4 linked regions of the Saccharomyces cerevisiae S288C genome follow. The gene in region 1 interacts genetically with each later gene. Each region holds a gene or a part of one and is shown in the gene's direction. Other genes may lie near its edges.

What was found.
Region 2: mutations in ESC8 (region 1) and ASG1 together harm fitness more than expected from each alone (negative genetic interaction), as found in Saccharomyces cerevisiae (one large-scale study listed by BioGRID).
Region 3: mutations in ESC8 (region 1) and MDE1 together harm fitness less than expected from each alone (positive genetic interaction), as found in Saccharomyces cerevisiae (one large-scale study listed by BioGRID).
Region 4: mutations in ESC8 (region 1) and YJR098C together harm fitness more than expected from each alone (negative genetic interaction), as found in Saccharomyces cerevisiae (one large-scale study listed by BioGRID).

The regions. Positions count from the first base shown.
Region 1 is NC_001147.6:289,136-297,083, forward strand, and holds ESC8 (Esc8p), read left to right. Parts: upstream 1-3,393; coding exon 3,394-5,538; downstream 5,539-7,948. Other genes in the region: TOS7 (Tos7p), read left to right, coding at 1-1,418; t-SNARE syntaxin TLG2, read right to left, coding at 1,746-2,939; calmodulin-dependent protein kinase CMK2, read right to left, coding at 5,642-6,985; IRC10 (Irc10p), read left to right, coding at 7,943-7,948. UniProt on the Saccharomyces cerevisiae protein: Involved in HMR and telomere silencing via the recruitment or stabilizing of the SIR (silent information regulators) complex.
Region 2 is NC_001141.2:100,674-109,243, forward strand, and holds ASG1 (Asg1p), read left to right. Parts: upstream 1-2,108; coding exon 2,109-5,003; downstream 5,004-8,570. Other genes in the region: forkhead family transcription factor FKH1, read right to left, coding at 108-1,562; TAO3 (Tao3p), read right to left, coding at 5,434-8,570. UniProt on the Saccharomyces cerevisiae protein: Probable transcription factor involved in the stress response.
Region 3 is NC_001142.9:468,388-474,960, reverse strand, and holds MDE1 (methylthioribulose 1-phosphate dehydratase MDE1), read left to right. Parts: upstream 1-3,996; coding exon 3,997-4,731; downstream 4,732-6,573. Other genes in the region: YJR026W (gag protein), read right to left, coding at 879-2,201; BNA1 (3-hydroxyanthranilate 3,4-dioxygenase), read left to right, coding at 3,290-3,823; U4/U6-U5 snRNP complex subunit LSM8, read right to left, coding at 4,848-5,177; REC107 (Rec107p), read left to right, coding at 5,382-5,697, 5,778-6,406. UniProt on the Saccharomyces cerevisiae protein: Catalyzes the dehydration of methylthioribulose-1-phosphate (MTRu-1-P) into 2,3-diketo-5-methylthiopentyl-1-phosphate (DK-MTP-1-P).
Region 4 is NC_001142.9:610,104-617,841, reverse strand, and holds YJR098C (uncharacterized protein), read left to right. Parts: upstream 1-2,685; coding exon 2,686-4,656; downstream 4,657-7,738. Other genes in the region: AIM25 (Aim25p), read left to right, coding at 508-1,491; ubiquitin-specific protease YUH1, read right to left, coding at 1,556-2,266; JJJ3 (Jjj3p), read right to left, coding at 4,911-5,429; YJR096W (aldo-keto reductase superfamily protein), read right to left, coding at 5,799-6,647; SFC1 (Sfc1p), read right to left, coding at 7,101-7,738.

The DNA.
Region 1 (7,948 bases):
GCAACGCTAGGTCTATATTGGGGAAAATCATCTTTATCACACCCATTGCTGCTGGTCTTAATTTTTTGGGATTTCTTTGTACCATCATGAGCGTTTTATTAATTAACGTGCTATCCAGTGATAGAGTTGGTAGTGCGTCTGCCATCATGTTTTTTGTTAATTTGACATTTTCCACTCTAGGCTTTCTTTCTGCTTCTTTGATATGTATCGTGGTATTTTTACTGTTTTACCCACATGTAACCTGGTGTTCATGGGTCCTGATACCAGGAGCTGCTTTATCTCTACTAGTAATTCCTTTGATATTCTCAGCTTATTCAAGAAGCTCAGGCTCAAGGGATGATGACGAAACCGAGGAACTGGAAGAAAAGGGCATGCTGCTGAATGACCCATATCTAAGTTCGAAGTCCGGGAGATTCGATATCGACGCTGATAGTGAGGCCAACCTCCGTGGTGATTCAAGAACGAATTTATTGGGTGACAATTTTAAGAACGGTACTAATATCACTGTTGTCCCAGATATTATTTCACACAATCAAGATCCGAAATTATCAAACATAACCACTTCTACCACGTCTGATATTTCTACTTTCGATAAAGAAGCAAAGGACATGGAAAATTCAAATGGTTCCGGACTTAATGAAGAAGAGGACGATGGCATGGCCTATGACAAAAGGAGGTCAACTTCAACGTATTCTGTCATTGAAAGTGAAAGTGGCTTGAAAAATGGGAGTGTTTCTAATAATTATGTGAGAAACAATGGTAGTAACACCAGCAACAATATAAACTATAAAGTTCCGCTAGGAAAAACGGAAATATCATCCAGTGCATCATTAGCGTCCTCAGACTACTCTCAAAGAGAGGTCATACCGCACAGAAATCCTTCGAGACTACTAAACGACATCATGGAGACCTCCTTCAATGAACCAAACGATAGCCACATCAACAGCATGTCCTCCTACAACGATAAAGATTCAACGTTGACTTCAATATCACAGAGAGGTGTCAATCCGGAAGTATACAATCAAATGCCTCGAGAAACAGCCGCTGGTCCTGCAAATATAAGGCCGTACGCTGGTCAGCCACACCCGGCGCCATTAGTGTATCCCCAACAACGACTACAACCACAACAACAGCAACCACAGCAGCAATATCATCAATACAATTTATATCAAAGAACTACTCCTGCTGGTCCAGATCCTTCTAATGTTATTTTACAAAGCAATCCTTATTTCAACGTTGCCCCAAACCAAGTGCCACAGCACAGAAATCCGGTACCAGGCGTCGGTTTTGCTCCGAATCCTTTACCAAACCAAAGCCCGATAACACAAGGATATAAGCCTGCCTATAAGAGGAGAATGCAAAACAAAAACTTGCCCCGAGCTACTACTTCACTGAACAATCCTTACGGATTTAGGTAAAAAAAGAAAAATGAAGGTTCTTTTTTTTTTTTTATATTCTACAAATCACAATAACCACCAACTTGTATTAAACCATATTTTATCATCTTCAGGAACTACTTATGCACAATATTCGTTCGCCAGTCTTTACTTGCGGTTCAATTTTATCCCATATAAATTTGTATTTTATTATCATACTACATACTTTATTGAAATCATATATTAACCTTTTCACTTTTCTCAAATAGAACGAGCAACAGGTCATATGAACGCTGACTAAATCTCTCAATTTTCTTCAAAGCATATTATAGTTCAAAATCGCGATGCGGTACCGTGAAAGTTTTGTCATCAAAGTAGGTCATCCAAAGCATCATTCTCAGATTCTGTTACTTCAACGATACTCGGCAAGTTGCTCTCTTCGTCATTAATATGGGTATTACTGCCGTCATCATGACTGTTATTAACTGTTTTATTATCATCATTGTTGTACTTGTTGCTACCATTATTACGACCACCACTGCCACCGCCATGTGGTTTCAACATAACAAAGAAAAAGAGCGCTATTACGCACAATGTTAGTAATAAAATGACTTTACATTTTTGAGTTCTCTTCTGGTAGTGTGTTGCTTTATTCAACTCTTTATCTGCACTTTTTAGCTCTACCACTGTATTTTCCAGATTATAATCAATCCTGTCCACAATAGTCCCCTGGTCAACAACCAAATCTTGCATTTCCCTGAAAATAGTGCTCACTTCTAATACACCCCTTGCCAACTGAGTAATTTCTTCGTCACGTTCTCTCAAATATGCTTCTGCAGAAGTGTCATGAAGCTGTTGCTGTCTCTGCAACGTCCTTTTTGAATAGTCTTCAATATCGAGGCCCTCTCTCTTCTCTCTTGCTGCCTCCTCTTCCTCATCATCTAATAATAGCGTGTTCTCTGCACTGGCCTTATTGCGGATAGGTTTCAAATCATCCTTGTTCAAGAATTTCAAGTAATTATTTTGTAATACTCTGAACTTATTACTTTCAGTTTGTATCTTTTCTGCATAGATCTTCTGTAGATTATCTAGTATAATCAGCTCTTCTCGACTTAATTGCTTACCATCCACAAATTGAGAGTTGTATATGGTCTTTAATCGTTTCATAACAGCGTAACATTTCTGCAGCATCTGAATTACTTTGAAACTTAGATCTTCAATCAGCGCCTCATCATGACTCTTGTCTTCAAAGCCAGGTAACGAATTCTTCCTATAAACCTTCGCCAACTGCTCACTTAACCGTCTCACCTCCAGAAGATAATCATCAACATCCTGCGCTATATCAATAAATATGGGTGGTAACGCATCACTGTGATTCTCATGCTTGTTTTTTCGTTCATCTGTCAATCTGGCCGATATATCGTGAGACATATTCATCATCGGGTATGTACCCATTTCAATATCTTGATCATCGCCCAAGGGTGCTTTCCCAGATGAGAAAGTTATGTTATGAGGGAAAGTCCTACGGTATGATAAAAATAAATTAGTTCTATCTCTAAACATGTTTGTAACGACTGCCTAGATCACAAAGCGATAAAATGTACATCAATTGGAGACTTTCCTGTCTTGCCGTACTTATAGTCTATTCTGCTATAATCTATACGCACTCACTTTACACCTTAAAAGCCCAATACAAACCGGTCCAACAATTATAATTCATCTATAGGGCATATACAAAAAAAAAAGGTAGGTGTAAAAGATAATAAAATACAACCCTATTAGCTTTGATAAAAAATTAGTAGGGTTAGAATGTCATATGGTAGGGTGATATAAACGCGTGAACTTTACGCGTTTATATGTACTAAGTTATTTTCGGTATTAGAGAATACCATATCAACGACTAACTCTTAAGCTTTCGATTGTATGAGCTGAAGAAACGGCCTGCTCATTACCAGGATATCTCTTTTTTTTAGACATCAAACAAGAAAATAAGGAACAAGAAATTTGAGGTACAATAATGACAGAAATTATTGATTTAGACTTGGTCGATGACTTTATCAAGAAACCTATGGTCAAACAACAGAAAAACCAGTCTTCAAAGCCTAGGGTAAAAAGAAGGGGTCAGTTGACCTTTGATGATTTCAGAAACATCAAAATTGTAGAAGAACCTGTTGTACTTTCTCACAATAGTTCAATTGACGAATCACTGGATGCTGCTACCCAAAATACTAAAAAGCGGGAGAAATATGAAGGTACCTGTGATGAAGAAATGAAAACTAAAGAAATGGAGGCAAATATGGCAAGCAAATATTCTAATATCAAAACACATTCGAACGACACTAACAAGGTAGAGTCGATCAGTGAACACACTACTTCTAATAATAGACCATTGAATACATTAAACTGGTCACCAAATATTCCTTTACGATATTCTGACTTTGCAAAGTTTATGAGTGATGAGACGGTAACGGAAAGCAATTGGGCGCCTCCCCTTTGCACCCCTCTCCCATATGCAGGCGATGTTATGAAGATCCTTTCTTTTATCGTCAAATTTAAATGGGTGTTCAGCGACGATCTACTGAACCTGTCATTTCAAGATGTGGAGATAGGACTAGAATTAAAGGTGGCTGGCCATTCTGCGAAGAATATTCGAATTTGTCAGGATAAAATGAATCTACTATTTTGCAGTCTTTTGAGGTTATTATTCTGCTCCGAGAAAAGAGCAGACAACCAAACTCATAGAAATTTCACGCTAAAAAGATTTCTTAGTTTGAAAAATCCATATGGAAAACTGGTTGGCAAACTCAGAAGCTTAATCCAGGAGTGGGGCTTACCAAAAGAATGGCGTGGTAATAGTGATATTTTATCTACTCTAAATTTTAATGGAGGTGGTTTGTTGACGATGGAACCATTAGATAGAATAATATTATTGAGATGCATGATCGATTGGAATTGTAGCTACTCCGCACTTTTCCATAATGAAATTCAAAGGCTCACTCACTTGAAAGGCGATACAGGGTTCAACCATCAAACTTTTCACGCCAGCAGGTTTGCTATGTGCGGGGCCAATAACATATTAGATAGTTGTGAAGTTTTATGCTCTTTGATGAGTCAAAAGTTGGAAAATCGAAAGAAAAGGAAGCCCAGCGACAAAGGAAAACTGAGTAAGATCAATAGTCAGATGAAATTTCTAAAGGGTGTTCGGAAATCATTGAGCGAAAAAGTAACTACAGACAGATTACGAGCTGCAGTTAAAATAAATGAAGAATGGGGTGAATATTTTGCAAACGAATTTACACACACACCAATTGATGATCCCACCGTAGACGAAATTTACAAGTTAAGGACATCAGAGTTTATGATAGCGAGAATTCCACGAGTTGGAGATTTCTACTTACCACCATTCTGGATTGGCAACGAATGCAGTTCAGTAAACACTAGTTACAGTTTCAATGACATGTCAACTTATCTTAATTACTTCGTAAAATTCAAAGAGGAGGGTACAAAAATACTGCCTGCAAAAACCGCACAAAATGAAAACAAGTGTCAACTTAAACTTATATATAGGAACACTCCTGCATGTATCCGTAATTTACAGTTCAATGATGTTCACTTTGCCGAGGTGCCGCATTGGTTTGAAGTTGCAGGAGACTCGAATTCTTTGAGCAACTTCATTGAGTATTTGGAAAGTTTATCATCACTTACTGAAAATGACACCGATGATACAAAAAAGGGTATAGACAATCTAATTGAGTTTTTGAAAATTTTCAGTATATTCATAAATGAGACTATTCAGCGCATAACTGCTGCCCCTACAGGCAGTACTGAAGGACGTCATTTGCGAACAAGCTCTCAGAGAAGAACCACGGTGCATTACTCGAGTGATGTAAATGGTGACGTTTCCGAGGAAAGTGAAAATGAAGTTGACATTGACGTTAGCGATGACTATGATTCAGAATATCTGAGTGAGGAGAATACATTGACAAGAAAAGGTGAAGATAGGACAGATAAATCTTTTGGGAAAAGAGAATTACACAATGGCGCTAAAGATTGTGATAGGAATTGTGATGATATAGAGATCTTCTCAGAACCCGTTAGGCAACTACAAGATAATTCTCGGGAAAAAAGAAGCTTGAGGCGTAATGCCAGAAAAGGTCTATAGTTTGAATGCCATGAAGTGTAGCTGCTGGTTACATAAAATCGTCACTAGCTTTACACATTAAATATTATATACGAATTTATGTACACGAATTCAAGTCCGTAATTTAGTCTTCTGACTTCGACTCCCGATCATCATGCAGTGTTTTCTTGCTATCGTCTTCCTCTTCACCAGCCAAAACTTTATGTTTATTCTTTGTTGCAGCTTTGACAATTTGAACAAAGGCATCCTTTGTTAATGCAGACTTCAATTTCATTTGCTCTTCTGTTAGTTCTCCCCCTTTCTTCTGAGATTGCAGACGTAAATCATCCAACGAATGTGTGACGCCGTCCAGAAGACTTTCATTGAGGGAATTCTCTTCTATATCGTTATCGCCATCGTCCCCTAATGAATACATATTTCTTAACCTCTTAATTCTATTATTAAGCTTCACAATTTCAATAGCGTCACGTAATTTCTTACGCAAAGAAAACCCTTTCTTAACGTCTGGTAAAATATTACTAGTTTCAACTCTCTTTGAAGTAATCCATGGATCGTCCAGCAATTCCGTAGCAGTTGGTCTGTCAGCTGGATTCAATCTCAATGCCTTCAAGATGAAACGCTTAACATCAATAGATATGTTATCCCAATATGGCATATGGAAGGTTACCGGGTATCTCGAAGCTGTACATTCCTCCATGAATCCTTCAACGCTTTCGGCAATAAAAGGAGAATAACCGCACAGTAAAGTATATGTGATCACACCAATGGACCATATATCACAAGGCTTACCATGTCCATCTTGTGTGAGGACTTCTGGTGCCACATAACCCAACGATCCGGCTGCTTTGTATATCAAATCCTCCTCCCCCTTCAATTGTTTAGCTATACCGAAGTCCGCAATTACCAGAGGCGAATTTTCTGACTTATCAACATACAAAACGTTCTCAGGTTTCAAATCCCTATGAACAACATTCTTGGAATGCATATACTCCACGGCACCAAGAATCTGAACTATGATTTCAACAGCATCCACTTCTGTGAACTTCCCTCTAGACAGAATTCTATCAAATAATTCACCTCCTGTTGCCAGCTGAGTGACAATATAGAACTTATCCTTCGATTCAAACCAATCCTTGAATGACACAATGTTCGGATGACTCAATTTTTGAAGAATGGACAGCTCTTCGTACAGCATCTGTAATTGCACATTGTTTCCCTGCAATGCCTTCTTCAATAAGATCTTTATAGCAACATCTTCATTTGTGGACAACTTTCTGGCTTGTCTCACAACACCGAAGGAACCGGCACCCAGTGTTCGACCGAAAATATAATTAGTCCTGTTGACGTAAGATTCAGGTTGACCGCTTAATTTATTGATAAATTTTGCTACAGGGTGGCCGTTTAGACGCTCTGGATCTTGGACATCTACATGAAATTCAGAATTTATGACCTCTGACTCCTTGGGCATTTTTGGTGTCTATATTTATATTGGCGATGTGATAGAAGAAAAGGTGACGAAAAGATTGATCAACGAATTGAAGTTCTGCTGATCTTGAACAATATCGTATTGTTTTATATTATTAGGATTACCAAGAGAAACAGCAATGGGTGGCTTCAAAGGGGGCAGGGTTCTAAGATAAGCCTCAATTATTCTCTTCGCGCTGCGTTAAAGCGGGCGCTTCTCCGAAAGTACAGCACGTTCTGAAAAGCCTCATCAACATAGAATCCATATGATGCTCAACGACTGGAAGTAAAAACATGAAAATTGAAAAAGAATATGCCTGCAGGAGCATTGGGAAGTACATAGTGGCTTATAGACTGCCAAAAAAAATCAGTACGGAAGCAAATGAACCTTATGTTATCCAGGGAGCGGTGAGTAACTGAGTAAAAACATTAGGCAAATTTCTTCCAAAAAATCATTGACATTGCCTGTCAATTGAGTAAATGAATAAATAAATAAATGCAAAAAAGCCAACCTAACTCTCCTGCAATGATACAATGAGTACTGTATCAACGACCATTAGTAAGTATCATGAAGTGTTTTGTATATTTGGAAAAAACCAGGCTGCATTGCCCCAGTGGTGTATTTATATCTACTGCAGTATGTTCTATTCTGTGAAGTTCCTAAAAGACACCGAGGTTTCTATGGCCTAACCATATTGTTGTTCTAACGCCTTTTCTATGTAAGGGTCCTTATTGTTCAAAGCCCCACCGCTCCTTCGCGCGTTGTGCCTATCATTGTGTCAGTAAATGTTAGGATACGGGAAGTGTATATATTAATTGAGTGGACACAGAAAACGCTCTAGAAAGGAATATCTCACAAAGAACTGTAATATAAGCCTACATTATTGATTTTTTTAGTTCTCTTGCCCTTATATTACCGTAAGTCTGCGGTATAATCACCTGGCCTAGTGCTTTTTCAATCATGTTC
Region 2 (8,570 bases), on another chromosome or scaffold:
AGAATTCTTGTTTATTTAATCGTTAATCTAAAAGGTGTAAGATATTTCTTAACGGGTCTTTGTTCTTTATTGTTTAATAATACATATGGGTTCGACGACGCTGAATTTCAACTCAGAGAGGAATTGTTCACGTTTGCGTTTGTTGTTACGTCCATGGATGTCGTAGTAGAAATTTGGCCAGTGAGTTGAGTTCTTTGTAATTGCGGGGCGCTTTCACCTAAAATCGAGCTCGTAGCTTGTAAAGACTTTTTCACCTTCTGTGCTTTTATCCCCCTCGGGTCAATTGATGAAGATTCAGGAGCAGGTATTTCTCCAAATTTGGACATGTGCAATTGCAGCTGTCTTGTCACAGAGGCGCCTCGTCTAATCTTACTCAATTTACCAGCATTCCACTTGTTCAAAAAATCACGCCTGACTTCATCGCTAATTTTCCAATTCATCCCTTTACCTTGTTGACCAGCTCTTTTGGGCACCTTCTCGAAGGCTTTATTTAGGGACAGATTATGCCTCACGGAGTTCTGCCACGCCATTTGAGAAAACCTGTAAAATGCGTAGTTGTCAGAGATAAATTTGTAAATATCCGCTAATGAAATACTACCTTCGGGTGTTGAAAGAATGGCTTGGGTGATCATCGATGCATACGACTGTGGTGGTTTGATATATCTGTTTTCATCCAGCGACAAGTCTGATGGATTTTCTATATGGGGTACATTACCGTTAGTGACAGCATTGTTGCTACTGGACGTGTATGTATTCGGTCTAATTCCTCCTCTGGTGTAATTTTCATCTTCTTCATCTTCTTCCATCATAATCGTGTCTCCATGTGGATCCCCTATTGGGTTAACATCTGATGATGACGATAATGGGGTGTGTAGGTGGTCCAGCTGTTGTAATCGAGCCTCTTCCTGTAACCTTTGCTCTCTTAAATAGGTAGAACCTTCGATAATGTTACGTAGCAACGGGTTGTTGTTACCATTCGTACCATAAGTAGATAGTAATTTGGGCATGAGGTGATTCAGGCAATAATCCGATATAATAGTTTCTTGTTCCGGCAATATAAAGATCATTTGCACACCACCTATGTCTATGATACAACCAGACTGTAGCACCGTAGGAGGAGAGTCTGGACCTGTGGGAATCCTTCTAAAATTGACCTTAGCACCATTTCTACCGAATATCTGTAATTCCCATGATCCGCTCTCCAGGTTGAATCTGATTGCAGCATGCTTCCTAGACACAATTTTGGCAGGACCAAGATCAATGTCTATATTCTTCTTCACGACTGTACCGGGCACAGCATTCAAGTTCAAGCTGTCTGTGTTCCTACCAATGGTAACTTCTAATTTTTGTACATAATACGTCCAATCACATCCGGCAATTTTAGCATAAGCGTTGACCTCTCTGGCAATACTCAAGCTATTGGAATAGTCACTTGACACAGCCACAGGATCGCTTGACGAGCTAAGAACACATGTCACCGCATTAACAAGCCCTTGGCGATCCTGGGCTGTATACGAACTATACTTACCACTAAATTTTTGTTCCCTACTGGTAACAGACATTTATTATTACTGTGTCTCTCCAAGCCTTTCTTTGCTAATTGAACGCACAATTTACACACTATTATTTAAACCTTCAATCTTCTATAGAGCCGGTATTCATCTAAACCTCTTACCATCCTGTTCTCTCTATACCGTTTCTGATTTGTTTATGTTTTTCCATTTTTTTGTTTACCTCATCCATGGATCATAACCTATTTCGTAACTTTTTTAGACCTATCATATATGCTATATTTCCGTTCAAGCCCTTAAAAAACATTTTATAAGACCTACGCTCTTCAAGCCCTAGTGATTTCTTTTTTTCTTTTTTTTTTTTTTGGTAATTTTTTTTTCAAAAGTGACTACAGTAATGAGGTTTGTCTACCTGGACATGACCTTCTATTGTTGAGTAGTTCCTTGCATTGAAGACAACCAGTAATCGAATTTTTTATAAAGCGGTTAGAAAATCTCGAAGAGGTTAACATATAGAAAAAAAGCCTCTTTTTATTTGAGTTCCATAAGGTAAGAGACAAAGAAAAAGGAGCGCATATTATAATTGATAAGGGCGTTATGCCAGAACAAGCGCAACAAGGGGAACAGTCTGTCAAGAGAAGAAGGGTCACTAGAGCCTGTGATGAATGCAGAAAGAAAAAAGTTAAATGTGATGGTCAGCAACCATGTATCCATTGTACTGTGTACTCTTATGAATGTACTTATAAGAAGCCTACGAAGAGAACACAGAACTCCGGAAACTCCGGAGTTCTAACACTGGGCAATGTTACTACTGGTCCATCATCAAGTACTGTGGTGGCAGCCGCCGCTTCCAATCCAAATAAACTCCTCTCAAACATTAAAACAGAAAGGGCTATTTTACCGGGTGCTTCTACAATACCTGCAAGTAACAATCCATCTAAACCAAGAAAGTATAAGACTAAGAGCACAAGGTTACAATCGAAGATTGACAGGTACAAGCAAATATTTGATGAGGTCTTCCCGCAGTTACCTGATATAGACAATCTGGATATTCCTGTGTTCTTGCAGATCTTTCACAATTTTAAGAGGGACTCGCAGTCGTTTTTAGATGACACTGTGAAAGAATATACTTTAATCGTAAATGACAGTTCTTCTCCGATCCAACCAGTACTTTCTTCAAATTCAAAAAACTCCACTCCAGACGAATTTTTACCTAACATGAAAAGTGACTCGAATAGCGCCTCCAGCAACAGGGAACAAGACAGTGTAGATACCTACTCCAATATCCCCGTTGGTAGAGAAATAAAAATAATTCTACCACCAAAAGCGATCGCTTTACAATTCGTGAAAAGTACTTGGGAACATTGCTGTGTTCTTCTCCGATTTTATCACAGACCATCGTTCATTAGACAATTGGATGAGTTGTATGAGACAGACCCAAACAATTATACGTCTAAGCAAATGCAATTTTTACCATTGTGCTACGCTGCAATCGCTGTGGGAGCATTATTCTCGAAATCCATTGTCTCAAATGACTCGTCAAGGGAAAAGTTTCTACAGGATGAAGGTTACAAGTACTTCATTGCAGCAAGGAAACTAATCGACATTACAAATGCCCGTGACTTGAATTCCATACAAGCAATTTTAATGCTGATTATATTCTTACAATGTTCCGCACGTTTATCAACGTGTTACACTTATATCGGTGTCGCCATGAGAAGTGCTTTGAGAGCAGGCTTTCATAGGAAATTGAGCCCCAATTCTGGTTTTAGTCCAATAGAAATTGAGATGAGGAAACGCCTTTTTTATACAATCTATAAACTGGACGTTTATATCAATGCAATGCTGGGCCTACCGAGATCTATTTCCCCCGACGATTTTGACCAAACTCTCCCCCTGGATTTATCAGATGAGAATATCACTGAGGTGGCGTACCTACCTGAGAACCAACACTCCGTTTTATCAAGTACGGGGATTTCGAATGAACATACAAAACTATTTTTGATTTTAAATGAGATCATTTCTGAACTATATCCGATAAAAAAAACTAGTAATATAATTTCTCATGAGACAGTTACTAGCTTGGAATTAAAGTTGAGAAATTGGTTGGATTCGTTGCCCAAAGAACTGATACCTAACGCAGAAAATATTGATCCTGAATATGAAAGGGCAAATCGTTTATTACATTTGTCTTTTTTGCACGTTCAGATAATATTATACAGGCCTTTTATTCATTATTTATCACGCAACATGAATGCTGAAAATGTAGATCCCTTATGTTACCGGAGAGCCCGGAACTCTATTGCCGTGGCTCGAACGGTTATTAAGTTAGCAAAAGAGATGGTTAGTAATAATTTATTAACTGGTTCATACTGGTATGCCTGTTATACAATTTTTTACTCCGTTGCAGGTCTCTTATTTTACATCCATGAGGCGCAATTGCCTGATAAGGATAGTGCTAGAGAATATTATGATATTTTGAAAGACGCAGAAACTGGTAGAAGCGTTCTTATTCAACTCAAGGATTCTAGTATGGCCGCTAGCAGGACTTATAATTTATTGAACCAAATTTTTGAAAAACTAAACTCAAAAACTATCCAGCTTACTGCGTTACATTCATCACCATCCAACGAAAGTGCCTTTTTAGTGACTAATAATTCCTCCGCTTTGAAACCTCATTTAGGAGATTCATTGCAACCACCCGTATTCTTTTCTTCCCAGGATACGAAGAATAGCTTTTCATTAGCTAAGAGTGAAGAAAGCACCAATGATTACGCTATGGCTAATTACCTAAATAATACACCTATTTCCGAAAATCCTTTAAATGAAGCACAACAGCAAGATCAAGTATCCCAAGGAACGACTAACATGTCTAATGAAAGAGATCCGAACAATTTCTTATCTATTGATATCAGACTTGATAATAATGGCCAATCAAATATTCTTGATGCCACAGATGACGTCTTTATCAGGAATGACGGCGACATCCCTACTAACAGTGCATTCGATTTTAGCAGCAGTAAGAGCAATGCATCAAATAACTCCAACCCAGATACCATTAACAACAACTACAATAATGTTAGTGGCAAAAACAATAATAACAATAATATTACTAACAATAGTAATAATAATCACAACAACAACAACAACGACAACAACAACAACAATAATAATAATAATAATAATAATAATAACAATAACAATAGTGGTAATAGTAGTAATAATAATAACAATAATAACAATAATAAAAATAATAATGACTTCGGCATTAAGATTGATAACAATTCACCGTCTTATGAAGGGTTTCCCCAGTTACAAATACCGCTTTCACAAGACAATTTGAACATAGAAGATAAAGAGGAGATGTCACCTAATATTGAAATTAAAAACGAACAAAATATGACTGACTCAAACGATATTCTTGGAGTATTCGATCAGTTAGATGCTCAGCTATTTGGGAAATACCTACCTTTAAATTACCCCTCTGAATGAAAACGTTATCTTTGATTTATATTCTATAATATCGTGGCTACAGCACTTGCTGAACATAAGCTTAAAACGTTTATGTGTGTATTTATATATGATAATAATAATAATAATAATAATAATAATAATAATAATAATAATAATAATAATAATAATGGTGATAAACTGCAATAACAAAAGAAAATAGTACCAATCCTGGATCTAGTTTTCCCTAAAATCCAATTTTTACTTATCAGCCTCACTTCCTAAACTACCTCACCTTCAAAAGCTCGATAATTAAAAGAAAACATGAATAATATAGTAAACAATGATAATAGTTTCTCTATAAGATTATCTAATTTTCGAACAGTATTAGCTATATGCGAAATATCTTCATCATTGGTACCTTATCATAAACCAAGGCCTGCTTTATATTTATTTGAACGAAAAAATTAACTTATATTCTTGGCTTTCCATTCCTGTTTATTTTCACAGCAAATGAATCAGCCAAATGAGTTTTAAATGAAACATTGGACGGTGTTCTAGATAAGCTCCTGTTCAGTATGACTGAGACCTTTTTGTCATACAACTGTGGAGCAGACTCAAAGGAAAAAGTTTGATCTGTGCGAGTGGTTTCAATCGAATCAGAACGTCCATGTGGAATTCCCATCCCCATTTTAGAGGAGATATTTGGCACATTTGTGTCCTTTGTGAAAAAACTATCAAGATTATCTAGCTCTGCCCACATGTGACTTAACGAAGCATCCTTTTCTTCCGCAACAGAAATGGAATCGTTTGTGTCCATTCTACCAAGGTCATAATCACCGTCCGCATGAAACTCGACAATTGTATCCATTCTGCCGAGTTCATAGTCACCATCCGCATGAAATTCGATAACTGCATCCATATCATCCGATCCGTGAGCAGATACTTCATCTGATTTGCCTGTACCACATGTCATAAAAACTGCGTGAACGTTGTGCCTTGTCGTAGCCGCCGTCATTGTTGGCATAGGAACAGACCAACCGCTATCTTCAGGCAAACCAAACAAGGTAGTGGTAGCATTATCGCCGTCTTTCACATCCTTATTTCCCATGGTTATCCTTAAAACATCCTTATCCATTTTACTTCCAGAAACATTTGGTACGCAATCTAAAACTTCCAAGGCCTTTGCTTCGTATTCAGTAAATAGTAACCTGAGTAACGGAGAAATCAAATCAGCACCGACACCAATAAATTCTGGCCTTCTTAAGTCAATTAAAGGAAAAACATATTTTAAAATTTCCAGAGTTTGAACTCTGATCCATCCTATTTTATTGAACAGAAGACCCAGAAGGAACACTAACGTTTGAGCGGAGTACGAGGGGAAGTAGTTTCTAGATATGAAACTCACTACTTGGCTCATGAAATCTTTCTTTGATCTAAACTTGTTCTTTGCTAGAGAATCTATCAAACGGGAAAGAGAAGGTTGTTTGTACGCATTTGCAAGTTCAATTAACGAATCTGCAGCAACCTGAATGCCCGTAAAATCTTTGCGATCCATTGCATTCAAAAATCTCGGAAGGTTTGCTATTAATGCGAAAAGCAGCCTAGACTCTGTATTTGCTATAATTCGGCTATCTTTCAACAAATTTAACTTATCCAAAAATTTCCACGTAATCTCTAAGGAATTCGCTGATCGCAATCCAGTCATAACTATTTGTTGCAAGCCATCAAAGCGACCTTCCCAATTGGAAGGAAAGATCGCAACCAAACACTGTACGGTATCAGGAGAATCCAAATCGATCTTGGAAATGAATTTACTTAAACATGACAGCACTTCAATGAATTCTTGTTCGTGAATGCTGCTCAAACATGCTGTAATGGACCAAAATAACTGCGGGAAACTGATCAAATTCGTCGGATCAAGTTCGGCCATGATTGCATTCAAAGTCATCAAGATCTGCATGGCAAATCCTTGTATATCGACATTTCCATCCGATATAGTGTTCGAAAGTCTATGAAGCATATCACGCAACATTTCCTGATCTAAAAATGTCAATAATGATCTAAATATTTGAAATGACCTGCACGCTATGTGCCTAACTGAGCAAGTGGTAGCCCACTTCAAGGCAATTCTTTGCCAAGTTACTTGAAATTCATCTAAGTCCGAGAATATAGAGATTATGTTCCTAATTAATAGGTCCATAGTTTTTGGTGATCTTGCACCTTTTTTCATCAAGTTATCATATGACCATAAGGCATGCTTATTTCTTAGTAGTTTCACGGTTTCCTCAGACTTTTCGTGACTTGGTGCCAATCCAAATATTAATGTAGATGCAATTTTACACGCGCTTTCGTGAATAAGCGGCACATAATGGTCAAGCAAGCAAATGGACATATGTAGTAGAAGAGGAATTTTCGCCTTTACAGATTCACTCAAGTTCGTTAACAAATTGACTAAAAAGATAATCGAAAGCTGCGCCTTCGAAAAAATGATTCTTTTCCCATTGTAATTTAGTCGTTCCCAGATATTCCCTAAAAAGGAATACTTATTATTATTCATTGGCTCATTAAACGTATGTTTCGCTAAAGGAACCATGTATTTCGGTTCTAAATTATTCAATAGAGTGTCAAGTAGTCCAATGCCACCAGGAATATTTGCCAAATACAATACAATATCTCTAGCATACTGAACAAACAATGGATTGCAGTGATTCATTGAAGAATTTATGATGTACTCCAGCGATACGTGTATATTTTGGAAAGAATTACCCTTGCCAAGAGAAATCCATAGCTGCTCTACTTCGTTCGGTAAAGAGTCGTTAAGATCAATAGTGATGTAAAATAGGTTATTCAATACCATAAACGTGTCCAACTCTTCTAAAGATTTCAATGTAAATTTGTTTACCCAAGGTACCATAAGCACCAACAAATCTCTTTTTATTTCGAAAGGAAACAAATCAAGTATTCTAACCAAACTGGAAAATATTCTCAAACACAAATCCTGAGAGAGCAGTTCGGCAAATATGCTAGAAATTTCTTTTGCAGTTGATTTGTAAACCGTCTTTGAAGAATTTGCAAGTCTCTCCTTAAATACCTTGGTATAAGAAGAATTATGTAATTTCGTTTCAACAGCTGAAAGTAGATCAACAGCAAATGTCCTTGTATCTTCCTTATCTGCCACTAAACCATACAAACCCAAGGAGACTAATTCATCTTCATCTAAAACCAAATTATCCAATTTCAAAACGGATTTACAAAGTGTAGTGTAATATAAAACAGCTACCGAAGGATGTGAGTGGTGTGAAACACATTGGAAAGCAACATCTCTAAATAGTTTAAAATTTTCCCTATTTTTGTCCAGGAGATTCTCCAAAGCACGCACACCAAGATTTTTTACAGTAGTATTGTCCGAGTCAAATAGTGCTTCAATCCAAGCAAGTAAATCTTCAGTATCGAATGAAATCACAATAGGCAACTCTAAATCATCGTCCAATGTTTGGGTTATTGGATCTGAACATAAAACAACCATAGTCTCTAGCACGATCATCTGCAATCTGTTTTTTTGGAATTCTATTCCAGTTGTAATAGCGGTTCTATCTCTGCCACTCT
Region 3 (6,573 bases), on another chromosome or scaffold:
GTATAACCAAGACACTGGCCTGAAACTGGTTCTTAATAAAAGCTAGTATCGTAGTAAAAACATCGAGGATAGAGTCCTCGCGACGGTCGTGTAATGGATAAACCCAACGGAATTTTGTTGTCTCATCAGTAAATGAGATGAAATAGGATGGTGCACTTTTTGGTAGGTTGTGAACTGGACCAAATATGTCAGTATGTAGGTATTGAAAGGGTTCGTATGAATTTTGGTATTTTAGTCGTGAACCTTTGATATGTCTGTGTTTGGTGCTTTTGCCGATTAAACAATCAGGACATTGATAGTCAATAGCACTAGACCAGTCGACATCTGATTCGTTAAAATACGTGATGGTGTTATTTTTAAGTGAGTATCGAATTGTCTGTGCATTGGCATGCGCAAGCATTCGATGAATGAAAGGATAAGGATATTTGCGTGTACTTTCACTTGTATGGACATTATTGATGGTGGGTACGGAGATATTTGATGGAAGCAAGTACCTTTTAGATACCCAGTAAAAGTCTCCATATTGTACGATAGGTGCAAGTACAGTGCCGTCAGATCGTTCTAAGACGTTTTTGGTAAAGCATGCTGTGATATCTACTGCAGCCAATTCATTCAAACTGAGTAAGTCATAGGCTATGTTAGGAGTGTGCAATACCTTTATTGATGTTTTGGTGTTGTCCTGGAAGTGAAATTGTAGGTCACCAATAGCGTTAATTGGTATATTTCTTTTTTGAGCATCAACTACGTTTATGTCAGGATTAGATGATGCTGAGTGTATGTGATGAGCAGATCTTATAAGGGTTCGTGATGCTCCTGAATCGAGAAGGAGGTGTCCAGGGAGTTCATCATCAGAATGATTAGTGTGATTTACCGTAGATTCAGTAAGTTCCTGGCCTAAGGTGAAGGTCGTGCTTATTGTTCAATTGAATCGGTTCAGTAGTTGATTTACTGATGGAATCGTTGTCCGTGCTGGGAGAGTTATTAGATGTGGATACATTGTGAGCCCTGGCTGTTTTCGATTTCGAATTATTTGTTTTTTGAGGATTCCGAGCTATAACTTTGGGTTTGGTTGTATTCGTATAGCTGCGAGAATCATTCTTCTCATCACTCAGATTTCTCCTGTAATTAGGTTTGCTGTTTCTCGATCCCTGTTGTTCTTCATAAATAGCATGGATATCTAAGAACAGTTCAGCGACTGTCATATTTAGATGTCGATGACGTGTGTAGCGTAAAAATTTATATTCGCCAGATAGACCTCTCATAATTAATTGGCATGCGACCTTGTTATTGATATGAATGCCATTATTGTTCAGTCTGTCGATAATGTTTGTGACTTTTGTTTCAAATGCATCTGCAGGTGTACTGCCATTATATTGCAAATTTGCCAGGGTCACAATGTCGTTTGCCTCTTGGGTATCAGATTGCATTTTTTCAATACTTTTGGAAAGAATTTTCATGATATCCGTATAATCAACGGATAGGATGTCTTTGACCCAGGTAGGTAGGAATTGAGAGGGAGCAAATATTTGAAAAGTGTTATACAAGAAGGTGAGTTCATCATCAGTGATCTGACGTACGGGTTTTCCGTTTACTGTCGGAATAATACCACCGAGATTCGAGTTTTGTAAAAATTTGATGTATGTTTTAACCCAATTTGGAAAGTCATTAGGTGAGGTTAACATTGGTGGTGGTCTGACATATTTTTTAGTGGATGTCATATCAGAGTCCGCTGAGGATGAATCAGTAAATGTATTACCTGACTCAGGTGATGGAGTGCTCAGAGGCGTTCCAACTGATGATGGATACTGCGGAAACTGTGATTGTGGCCCAGGTGGAAAGTACATAGGCGACATTTGATAAGGTGTATACGGAATCATAGATGGGTGTCCGTAAAATGACCAACCAGATGGATTGGCTTGGTTTTGGGTCATCATGCACTGCTGTGGGTACGGCCCATTCTGTGGAGGTGGTACTGAAGCAGGTTGAGGAGAGGCATGATGGGGGTTCTCTGGAACAGCTGATGAAGCAGGTGTTGTTGTCTGTTGAGAGTTAGCCTTAGTGGAAGCCTTCTCACATTCTTCTGTTTTGGAAGCTGAAACGTCTAACGGATCTTGATTTGTGTGGACTTCCTTAGAAGTAACCGAAGCACAGGCGCTACCATGAGAAATATGTGAATGTTGAGATAATTGTTGGGATTCCATTGTTGATAAAGGCTATAATATTAGGTATACAGAATATACTAGAAGTTCTCCTCGAGGATATAGGAATCCTCAAAATGGAATCTATATTTCTACATACTAATATTACGATTATTCCTCATTCCGTTTTATATGTTTATATTCATTGATCCTATTACATTATCAATCCTTGCGTTTCAGCTTCCTCTAACTTCGATGACAGCTTCTCATAACTTATGTCATCATCTTAACACCGTATATGATAATATATTGATAATATAACTATTAGTTGATAGACGATAGTGGATTTTTATTCCAACAGCAACATGTTAAAACGAAAGCTGATGTTTGGAAGCCGTCTCGAGTAGGCTATACCGACATATTTTCCCAGGAATATAAAGGAATTGTTGTTGCGATAAAGTTTGTGATCTGTTCTGATGCTGAAGGAACCTTGTACCCGAGAGAGTATAACTCCCGTCTCCATGATGTAAAAAGACTTGGGAGAACAGGACTGTCATTCACAGATAAAAAGGAGGCGTATTTACTCGAATTTAAAAACCAGGACGTTGTAGATCATGTTCATAAGTTAATCTTGCCTTTTAACACATCTTGGCAATCTAACTAGATTCGTCCAATTGTATTTTTACTTCAATAATCTTACATAATAATAAAAATTTTTCTATTTGTCCAAAAAAAAAAAAAATAAATAAAATAAAAAAAGCTACCGTAATTCATGCGTACAGTAACTGGCTTCCTTACTATACCAAGTTTATTCTTTGATTGCGCTGCCAAAATAGCCTGTCAAAATTTGCGCGGATGTATTTTCGACGTCAACGGTGCCATTATTTTTCTGTCACTGACACCTGTACTCCTGAACGGGTATCGGCATTTAGAACGCTGCCTCCAAATGTCTGGTGAACGTTCGTGAATATTCAGAGTGTCGTTATTGCAATGGAATGGCTGCCTTTGTGACGGCGTCAGGATAAATTGTGAGTCACTGAAACATATTCGGCAAAGTAAAAAAACGGACGTAAAAGATTCTTTCTTTATTCTTTTCACGACAGTCTACAAGTAACTGAAATAGCATACATTTACCAAAAAAATCGAAAAAAATGTTTAATACTACACCAATTAATATCGACAAATGGTTGAAGGAGAACGAAGGCCTTTTGAAACCACCGGTGAATAATTATTGCTTACATAAAGGGGGATTCACTGTGATGATTGTCGGTGGGCCTAATGAAAGAACCGGTTATCACATCAATCCAACTCCCGAATGGTTCTATCAAAAAAAAGGATCTATGCTTTTAAAGGTTGTGGATGAGACAGACGCTGAACCAAAGTTCATTGATATCATCATCAATGAAGGCGATTCATATTTATTGCCAGGAAATGTTCCTCACAGTCCTGTTCGGTTTGCTGATACTGTGGGTATTGTTGTGGAACAAGATAGGCCTGGGGGAGAAAACGATAAGATAAGGTGGTACTGTTCTCATTGTCGCCAAGTGGTCCACGAGAGTGAACTGCAAATGTTAGACTTAGGTACCCAAGTGAAAGAAGCCATTTTAGATTTTGAAAATGATGTCGAAAAGAGGACATGTTTCCATTGCAAGACGTTAAACTACGCACGCCCTCAATCTAATTAAGTATTAGAAGAGTTGTTAGTTGTACTTTTATAGCTCTCTTGTTACGTAAGATTGCGGCACTAAGATGCGGTGCCAATTTTTTTTTTTTTTCTCTTGATCAAAGCAGCTAGCTGTTCATCAAGATATGTAACGTTTTTAAGCACTGAACTAACAAGGGGAGCCAGTGAACGACTATGTCTTCACAAGATGTTCTGATACATTCAGATGATCCGTGCCATCCAGCAAATCTCATTTGCACGCTATGCAAGCAGTTTTTTCATAATAATTGGTGCACCGGAACTGGAGGTGGGATTTCAATAAAAGATCCTAACACGAATTATTATTATCTCGCCCCATCTGGGGTGCAGAAGGAGAAGATGATACCTGAGGATTTGTTTGTCATGGACGCTCAGACATTAGAGTATTTGCGCTCTCCCAAGCTTTACAAGCCAAGCGCATGTACTCCATTGTTCTTAGCGTGCTACCAAAAGAAAAATGCAGGTGCTATAATACATACACACTCCCAAAATGCTGTGATATGCTCCTTGCTATTTGGCGATGAGTTCAGGATTGCTAACATCGAACAAATCAAAGCAATTCCAAGCGGAAAGGTGGACCCTGTGACCAAGAAACCCATGGCGCTATCGTTTTTTGATACGCTGAAGATTCCCATCATTGAAAACATGGCGCATGAGGACGAGTTGATCGATGACTTGCACAAGACTTTTAAAGATTATCCAGACACATGCGCCGTAATTGTGAGGAGACATGGCATTTTTGTTTGGGGTCCGACAATCGATAAGGCCAAAATTTTCAACGAAGCCATCGATTATTTGATGGAGCTGGCCATAAAGATGTACCAAATGGGGATTCCTCCCGACTGTGGCATTGGCGAAGAGAAGAAGCATCTGAAGATGGCCAGTCCGTGACGGGTTAATGCTTAAATTTATTGTATGATTTATATACTTCTATACATGGTATTATTATTATTATTATTATTATTATTATTATTATTATTATTATTATTACTATTATTGCAACTATATTATTTTGTCTTTGATTCGTACACTTTTTCCCATATTACATGCTCATTTTCGATTTTATTCTTGGTGTCCTTTAGCATTGGGACCTTCTTTTCGTCTATAGGAGCTAGACTGTCATCATTTTCTGCATCTATGAGGCCAACAAGAGCAATCTCGCTGCCTCGAAGTAACTGTGCCTTGCAGATGAATTCCTTGCTTATGCGGTTGAAAACATTGGTTATGAATAGATTAGTATTTTTGTCGAAGCCGTTTAGGCTTGCTATGAGGCATTCGCCGTCAACTTTGATTATAACAACTCTTTTATTTAAGTAGTCTTTCAAGGTGGCTGACATGGTGCACGATAGTGTGTTCTTCTTGTATGGTGTACTGTATGCAGCTTGCTGGTCCATCTTATAAGAACCACGTAAGATTAGTTTTTTTTTTTCCCTTTACGCCATGATAGTATTTTCAGGACTTAAAGGGAAAATCAACAAGAACAGAAAGAAGGAAAACAAGCAAAACAAGGATACTGCAGACGTGTAGAAACATTTAGTAAAATGGTCGCTAGAGGTAGAACAGACGAGATATCTACAGATGTTTCAGAGGCTAATTCTGAACACTCGTTGATGATTACAGAAACATCATCACCGTTCAGATCTATATTCTCCCACAGTGGGAAAGTAGCGAATGCAGGCGCTTTAGAGGAATCGGACAAGCAGATACTGGAATGGGCAGGTAAACTGGAATTGGAGAGTATGGAGCTGAGGGAAAACTCTGACAAGCTAATTAAAGTTTTAAATGAAAATTCTAAGACATTATGTAAATCGCTAAACAAGTTTAACCAGCTACTGGAACAAGATGCTGCTACGAACGGTTCGTACCAACACAGTGCATACCCTCAAGTTTTTTATTCATTTTCTTCCAAAACACATTTACTAACAACTGTAGTATAGGAAACGTGAAAACCTTAATAAAGGATTTGGCTTCCCAGATTGAAAACCAACTGGACAAAGTGTCAACAGCAATGTTATCGAAAGGCGACGAGAAGAAGACAAAGTCGGATTCCAGCTACAGGCAGGTATTAGTCGAAGAAATAAGCAGGTATAATTCCAAGATAACGCGACACGTAACTAACAAGCAGCATGAGACGGAAAAGTCGATGAGGTGCACCCAGGAGATGCTCTTCAACGTCGGCAGCCAACTGGAGGACGTGCATAAAGTGCTCCTGTCTCTATCCAAAGACATGCACAGTCTACAAACCCGCCAGACTGCTCTAGAGATGGCGTTTCGAGAAAAGGCAGATCACGCCTACGATCGCCCGGATGTGTCTCTGAATGGCACCACACTCCTGCACGATATGGACGAAGCCCACGATAAGCAGCGTAAGAAGTCCGTGCCGCCACCAAGAATGATGGTCACAAGGTCCATGAAACGCAGAAGATCCAGCTCCCCAACCCTATCCACCAGCCAAAACCACAATAGCGAAGACAATGATGACGCTAGCCATCGGCTGAAGCGTGCGGCCAGGACCATTATTCCCTGGGAGGAACTAAGACCCGACACTCTGGAATCTGAGCTGTGAAACGGGCGTCCTGCTTTTTCATTCTACACAGGCATATGTAACAGCAGTGTATAGGCTATGTAAATCGGCCCAATCAACAAACAAGCGTTGCTTATTGGACTTGCTACTACCCCAACAAAGGAGAGAGCCTTTGATTGCATCCTCGGAAGAGACGGCATAAACACCGA
Region 4 (7,738 bases), on another chromosome or scaffold:
TCAGATGGTAACCATTGGATCAAGTGATAACACGTTTAAATGAAACAGTACCCATTTCTATAGACCAGATACCACGGAAGGATTACTGTAGAGGTGAGATATGAGATAGAGGGAATTGCCATTCGGTTAATAGCATATATAGGTTTTTATATGGAAGATTTGTGGGGCAATTGATTACCTTGTCAAAAATATATATAATATCTTGGAGCTGTAAAGGAAAGGCAATGTACAAAATCGACCAAGAGCTTTACTAAGTCTGGACAGTCGTTTGTCTGCCGATGTGGAAAAATAGCTTTCAATATAGTTATAGGAAGAATTTTCATAACAAGTGCGCGGTCTTGTTCCCCTTAACAGGTTCCGAACCTAGTATGGGAGAGGTTTCATTGACTTCGTTATATACTTCATTCAAGTTTGTAAGCCTACCGGCAATAAGGATTTGAAAAGTACGAAATGAAAAAAGACAAAACAAAAGAAGATTAAAGGTCAAACATAAAGGATAACACCGACATGCATAGAACGGCAATATTTCTAACTTACCGATCATGTATGAGAAATTTCAGTACACTGAGTAAAACATTAACGGTTTCTTCTGGTAAAGTAATCAGAAACGGTCCATTTAGGAGAGTAATTCGTGAAAAGAACCAAATAACGAAGGCGCCATCAGTAAAAGCATTTAAAGAAAATAGCAATAGCGGGATAATAAAAGTACATGATCCTATAGCTACTACGATACTTAATGAACCGACAGTTATTATCGAAAGGCAAATAGAATTTATGAACGTTTTTCTAGGTTTCGAGCAGGCTAATAGGTATGCCATAATGGATGTGAACGGAAACAAAATAGCATCAATGATGGAAAGAGATTTTTCTATAACAAAGGCCATAATGCGGCAGTTTTATCGTCTACATCGTCCTTTTTTGGTAGATGTCTTTGATAATTGGGGAAATGTAATAATGACGATTAAAAGGCCCTTTTCGTTCATCAATTCTCATATAAAGACTATCATACCTCCTTCCGCGTATGTTGATAATGGCAGTGACTCCACTCACTATCACGACGGTAAAGAAGGAACGACAGTAGGAGAGACCATTCAGAACTGGCATCTCTGGAGGCGTCGTTACGAATTATTCCAGAAAGATGGAGTAGAAGGATCCACTTTTGACCAATTTGGTAAGATAGATGCACCTTTCTTATCATTTGATTTTCCTGTAACAGATGCTGATGGTAAGATAATGGCGAGTGTAGACAGAAATTGGGTTGGTTTAGGAAGAGAAATGTTTACCGATACTGGTGTTTATGTTGTTAGATTTGATTCGCAGAGATGCTTTGATAATATTTATCCTACTGAGATGCTAAGTTCTCAAGTACTAACTTTGGATCAAAGGGCCGTGTTATTAGCAAACGCTGTGTCCATCGATTTCGATTATTTTTCGAGACATTCCAGACAAACTGGAGGTTTCCTTTCTTTTGGCGGTGGCTATGATGAGTAGGTGAATTATATATTTAAAAGAATTCTGTAAATACATATTTGACTACGCAGTAATAAAACAATTATTATTCCCAATTAGGGCCCAATCCTAGCATAGCAAAGTTTAATACATCTTCTTCATTTGCATTTTCCATATATGAGGCGACTCTCACTCTAACTAATTCCTGTTCAATCAAATCGGTGGCAGTTGGGTCACTCTTTCCCAAATAGAGGGGTCCGCTCAAATTCCTTCCATCCAGTTCAAATATCCCTCCGTTCTCTTCCACATATGTGATATAGTGTAGATTAGTATCTGCAGTTGCTTCTGGTGCTTCTGACTGGCCAGTAGAAAATGTTTGTACATTCTCTTTTATTACATTCAAGACGAATTGGTCGGTAGTAACATCATCAAACCTATTCTTCGAGCTTGAAGTATCACTTTGAGATTTTAAAAAATTGTCCAAGTCGGAGCCGGGCTCCAACAATGACTGGTTATTGCTCAAAGAATGAAGAATTGCATACAATCCGCACGCATTTTTGACTGATTGCTTAAACCATATAACATCATAAGAACTTGTAATTTGTTGACTGGTACTCGATTTTCTATCCTCGTTTATCGGAAATAGCAGCACAATGGCCTTCACTGGCCTTGGTAAGAATGCTAGTAACTCTGGCTCTGTTAAGCTATAGATATCGAAATACGCCCATTCATTTTTTAAACCTAATTTATGTGCAAAATTTGTAAAAACTTCAGGGTTTGATTCAATCGGCACCACAGCACGATTTTCTCCGCTCATACTTTTGCTATTGTATTTTTATAACGATTGTTACTTACTTGTTGATCAAAATACCCTTAATATCTCTTAAGTATGGACTTCCACCTTTATAGTCGACTAAATAAAAATACTTCTACTGAGGAAGTTTAAAACACGGAAAAATTGTTCCAGATCATTATCTGCACTGGTTTTTGGGGCGTTGATAGGCATGTTCACACTTCCTAACTCGACCACAGACATCTCCAAGAATACAAGGTACTTCAATCCGGGTAATAAAACGTCAGGAAGTTTTGAGAAGTTAATAGCTCATCACTGCATTCTCAAAAAATGCTTACAACTCTATGACGCCCTTAAAAAGAAAGGACTGGGTAAGAATAGCCTGCCTATTTTGGTGATACGTAAAAGAATCAACTTGTAGAGGTTAACTGGGGAGTATTACAATGATGGCAACTCCGGCTACTGATCTTATTTCCGATAATGATAAATATAACAAGCAATGTCTTTCTGATTCAAGTGATAGTGGTAGTGATGTAAGCTTTTTTTCCGTAAATGAAAGCGAAGGTGAATTGGATACAATGGAGAAAGTGGATACCTTGATTGGAGGTGCAAGAGTTATAAGCAATAAAGTAGAAAAAGACAGCGATAGTGAACAAAGGGGAAGAAAGAAGGAAACAACTGGGCCCAATAACTATCATAATTTAGAAGAGAAGCAAGCGAGTGCCATTTCTCTTGACGCTGATGATGAAGATCTCGATGAAATTATTTCTTATTCGCATGACGGGAACTATGACAGCTCTCATAAAACTTTCTCCTTTTCCTTACCATTTGGTAATACAAATTTCCGATCAAGTTCACCATTAGCCATAATTAAAACTGTGCTTCCCAAGACTCCAGATGAGTTCATCAAAAAGAATCTAAGAAAGAATGAGATCAAGCAAAAACTGAAAAAATCAACCTCCATTTCTTCCTTGGAAGAGATAGAATTATTTAAATACGAAAGGGGCATTGATAATTCAAGGTTAAGGGCTGTTAAAGAATCTTTGGAAATGGATGCCTTGAAGAACTCCATTAAGCAAATAACAGCAGACCCATTCGACAAAACTCATGACGGATATTACCGTTCGCGTTTAGAATCTATATGGAATGAATTGGAAGGAGATGTCGTTATAATGGGTGGATATCGAGGTAGTGTGCTAAGGGATGCTACTACTCATAAGCGAATTTGGATCCCATTAAAGGCAGGTTTGAATATGACGAAAGTCGATTTATTGATCGGACCTAATGACGAAGATGAACTTAAAACTCAGAAGGAGATTGTCCCTGATGGAATGCTAACACATATAGGGCCTGTTGATATCTCTAAGAGGTTGATAAAGAGGCTAGACGCAAATCCTAATTTAAATGTTCAGCAGTTTGGCTATGATTGGAGATTATCCTTGGACATATCTGCCAAGCATTTAACGACTAAACTAGAGGAAATTTACAATAAGCAAAAAAATAAGAAGGGAATATACATCATTGCCCATTCAATGGGCGGATTGGTCGCACATAAAGTGTTGCAAGACTGTACTCATTTGATAAGAGGTATTATTTACGTGGGTTCCCCAAGCCAATGTCCAAATATTTTAGGTCCTATTAGGTTTGGAGATGATGTGATGTGGAATAAAACTATTTTCACTAAAGAAACCAACTTTTTTATGAGAAGTAGTTTCTATTTTCTACCGTTAGATGGTAGATGTTTTGTTGACAAAATTACCTTAGAGAGGTATGATTTCGATTTTTTTGATACAGATGTTTGGAAAACCCTTGGCTTGTCACCTCTCGTCAATGAGAAAAGAGAGGAATCAGCTCACGAAAAATCAAAATTATTACCAAGGAAAACGAAATCAGCGCTTTCGCTTAAAGCTACCCTAAACGCAACTACCAAGTTTGTCCTAAATGCACCTGTTGTTAGGAATGTAGCCGGCAATAATAAACAGGTACCAAGGGATGTGCCTTTCGATGAAGTCTTCCATACATCTTATGAAGATAGCTGTGAATATTTAGCGAGAACTTTAAAACGTACAAAGAATTATTTGGATAGCTTAGATTACGACCCGAACAAAGAATATCCTCCATTGGCCATGGTTTACGGTAACAAGGTTCCCACTGTTAGAGGTGCTAAAGTGAACGGTATACAAGATATAAAAGATGGGAATTATGAAGATTTTTACTATGGTCCGGGCGACGGTGTTGTTCACCATAAATGGTTATTGCCTGAACAGAGAGGCTTTCCAGTTGTTTGTAAAATCGCCAGTTCTTCAGGTCATGTTAGCTTAATGACGGATTTGAAATCAATGGCAAAAGCATTCATATCTATCGTCGACAGCGAAAAAGAAGGAAGAAGATCTCGAACACGAACTTCTTCATGAAAGGCTTTTTATTCCTTTGTTTACTATTCATATCTGCATTTTTCTTTTTACCAAAATTCCGCATGTCAAAAAAAATCTGGCAACGCACCGCGAATAAAAATAAATAATATTTTTTTATCTTTAGTTGCCTAAATACTATTTATTTCGTCAATTTTACAACCTCTTTTATATACACCATTCGATTTCCCACGAAGTAAAATAATAATTCTATAAACAGATTTATCTGATATGCTCAATTTCCCCTCCCATTTTCATTATTGTCCTTCTTGCTCTTCCTCGATGTCAAAATTAACCTTCAGCCATAAGCTGCATGCGCTACATTGGGTTAATAATTGATAACCAGAATGACTCCGTTCCATAGCGTCTACATTATCAATGCATTCATCTAACAAACTCTCACTAAAATGAAAACCACCAACAAATTGACAGCGAGGACAATTCATCATAAACTCCAGCTTATCTTCATCAAATGAGAAATCGTCTAAGGAAAATTCATCCAGCCCATCACCACAATTATGAAATCCTTGGCGTTTATAGTTTTCAAGGATCAACCTATCATATTCGCGACGAGTTTTTATATTCGATAGTATTTTATAAGCATCTTGAATCTTATTGATTGTGACGTTGCTAACCGTATCATGTATGCTTTTAGAAAGTTTATCGGGGTGCGTATTTAGTAACCGATTCCTATATGCCTTTTTGATTTCATCTTGTGTTGCATCCGATGGAATTCTTAAAATTTCGTAGTGTGTTAACGAATTCACCAATGACATTTTCGCTAAATTTTCACACCAAAAGAAAGATTAAATTGGAGATAAATACAATACAAAGAGCGTGGTAAATTTCTTAGTTGATTGCGCTTATCTTTTGGCACCGATAGTGGTTTTTACAATGGTAAGACTAGTAACGTCACATCGAAGTCATCGCATCCATTTACAATTTTTCTGAAAATTTCCATCTCCAGTTACCCGCTCATAAATCTTCAAGAAAAGTCAATGATTTCCTTTTCTACCTCTAGCAGCTCCTTTAATCTTTGATTTAGATCGAAAGTCCTGAAAAAGCTACATGTAATATTAATACTTTGTGAAACGTAAACTAATTATATGTTCTATATACGTTATTCTACGGTTCGCATTTTCTTTTTATGGCGCGTCTGTGCATTCCCAATCGGTAGGCTCATAAGCATCAGGATGATCAAGAAATTTCATCTGTTCGTCTGACAGTTCAAAGTTGTAGGCTGCAAGGTTACCTTCTAACCTCTTCACAGTTTTAGTCTTCGGTAGTGGTAAATAACCGTGTTGTAAAGACCAACGAATCAAAACTTGACCTGGATTACGGTCCACCTCTTTGCAAACTTTTAATAAATCTGGATTAGTCATTTTGTAGCCGTGACACAATGGGGCAAAGGCTTCGACGACGAGACCTTTAGATTTACAGTAATCTGCTAATTCTTGTCTCATAATCCAAGGTGATATCTCGATTTGGTTGACCACTGGCTTGTGCTTCAGTTCTGGCCAGTTCAAAAGTTCATCAATGTGCTTTTTCCCATAGTTGGAAACCCCTATAGACTTAACCAATCCTTCATCAACCGCTTCTTGCATGGCGCGCCAAGTTTCCAACCTTAATTTAGAACCTTCCAGTGGCGAATGAATCAAAAGAAGATCGATGTATTGCAAGCCCGAGACTTCATTCAAACATTGCCGAATGGCAGCTTTAGCTCTTTTATATCCGTTTTGCGAATTCCATAATTTAGTAGTGTAGAAGATTTCCTCACGTTTATGGTTCCCTGGATCTTCGTTCAACCATTTAATGATACCATCGCCAACTTCCTTCTCATTACCATAAAGAACAGCAGTATCGAAATGACGGTAGCCGCACTTGACACCTTCATACACAATTTCGGCTGTTTGCGATCTTGGAATATCGTAGGTTCCCAAAGCAATGCTTGGGATTTTGAAGCCGTTTGAAAGTTTGTAAAACTTAGGAACCATGTTGTTGAGGTGAATTTTTTTTCTTCCTTCGGGCTAGGTATGCTAAGTTAATTACTAAAGTAAGATCAGTTGCTTATGCTCTTATATATTGGAGGTTGCGACAAGGGATGAAAGAAAGAGACACCTCCCCTCATATCGACACGACGGAATATGTATGATAACTACTTCATTGTTCTTTTCAGCACATTATTACTATTTACGAAAAAAGGGAGTAGGGAAAAATGGCGCGCTTATGGAGCCTCAAATAAGGACAAAAAAGTCAAGTAATGAATATCAAATTGAAATGAGTATGCTTACATAGATTTATTTGGTTTGTTTTCATTTTGTTTTTGTTTCTTATGTTGCTGCTTTATTTTGTGTAGGTAATAAGGAAGAATAGGGCGATTAATAATTGATCTTCTAGCCTATTTCTATTTTTTCTTTATTTCATTTTGTAGTCCCATTGTTCATCATCTACTTTAATGGCTTTGGCTTTGGTGTGTCATTCTTCTTGAATATACCCAAATTTTCTAAATGCTCCCTTACATATTCATAAACGGTAAAGGTGACAGCCTGACCTGGAGCCACCCTCATCACTCTTGGGGTAATACCCTTGTACAAAGCTCTAAAACCTTCTTCTTTCAGTAGTTGAGCACCAATGGTTATGATTTTCTTCATACCGGACTGTTTTTCCAATGAGATGGACTTATCCTTTTGCAGCCTTGTCTTTATAGTATCCAATGGAGCGTTGGAAAACGGCCCAATAGCACCCGAAATCAAACCTATGCAAGAAGTTTCCCATGAAGGTAGGACATCCATCTGATGGTAATTCTGCAAAAACTCCTTCAGTTTAGAATAAACTGTGAAGTTAGCACCCTGATTAGTTGCTTGCCTTGCCGCAGTTAAGGAAACGCCTCTATATAAGGCAGAAACACCTTCTTCTTTGACAATAGTGTAGGCTGCATGAATGGCGTTGTTATATTTAGGACCAGCATTTGGCTCACTCGGAGTTAAATGCTGAGCTTGTAACCTAATCTTTACAACTTCCATCGGGTTCACGACAAGAACAGCTTCGGTGATACCAGCCCCAACACCAGCAACAAAAGTATTAC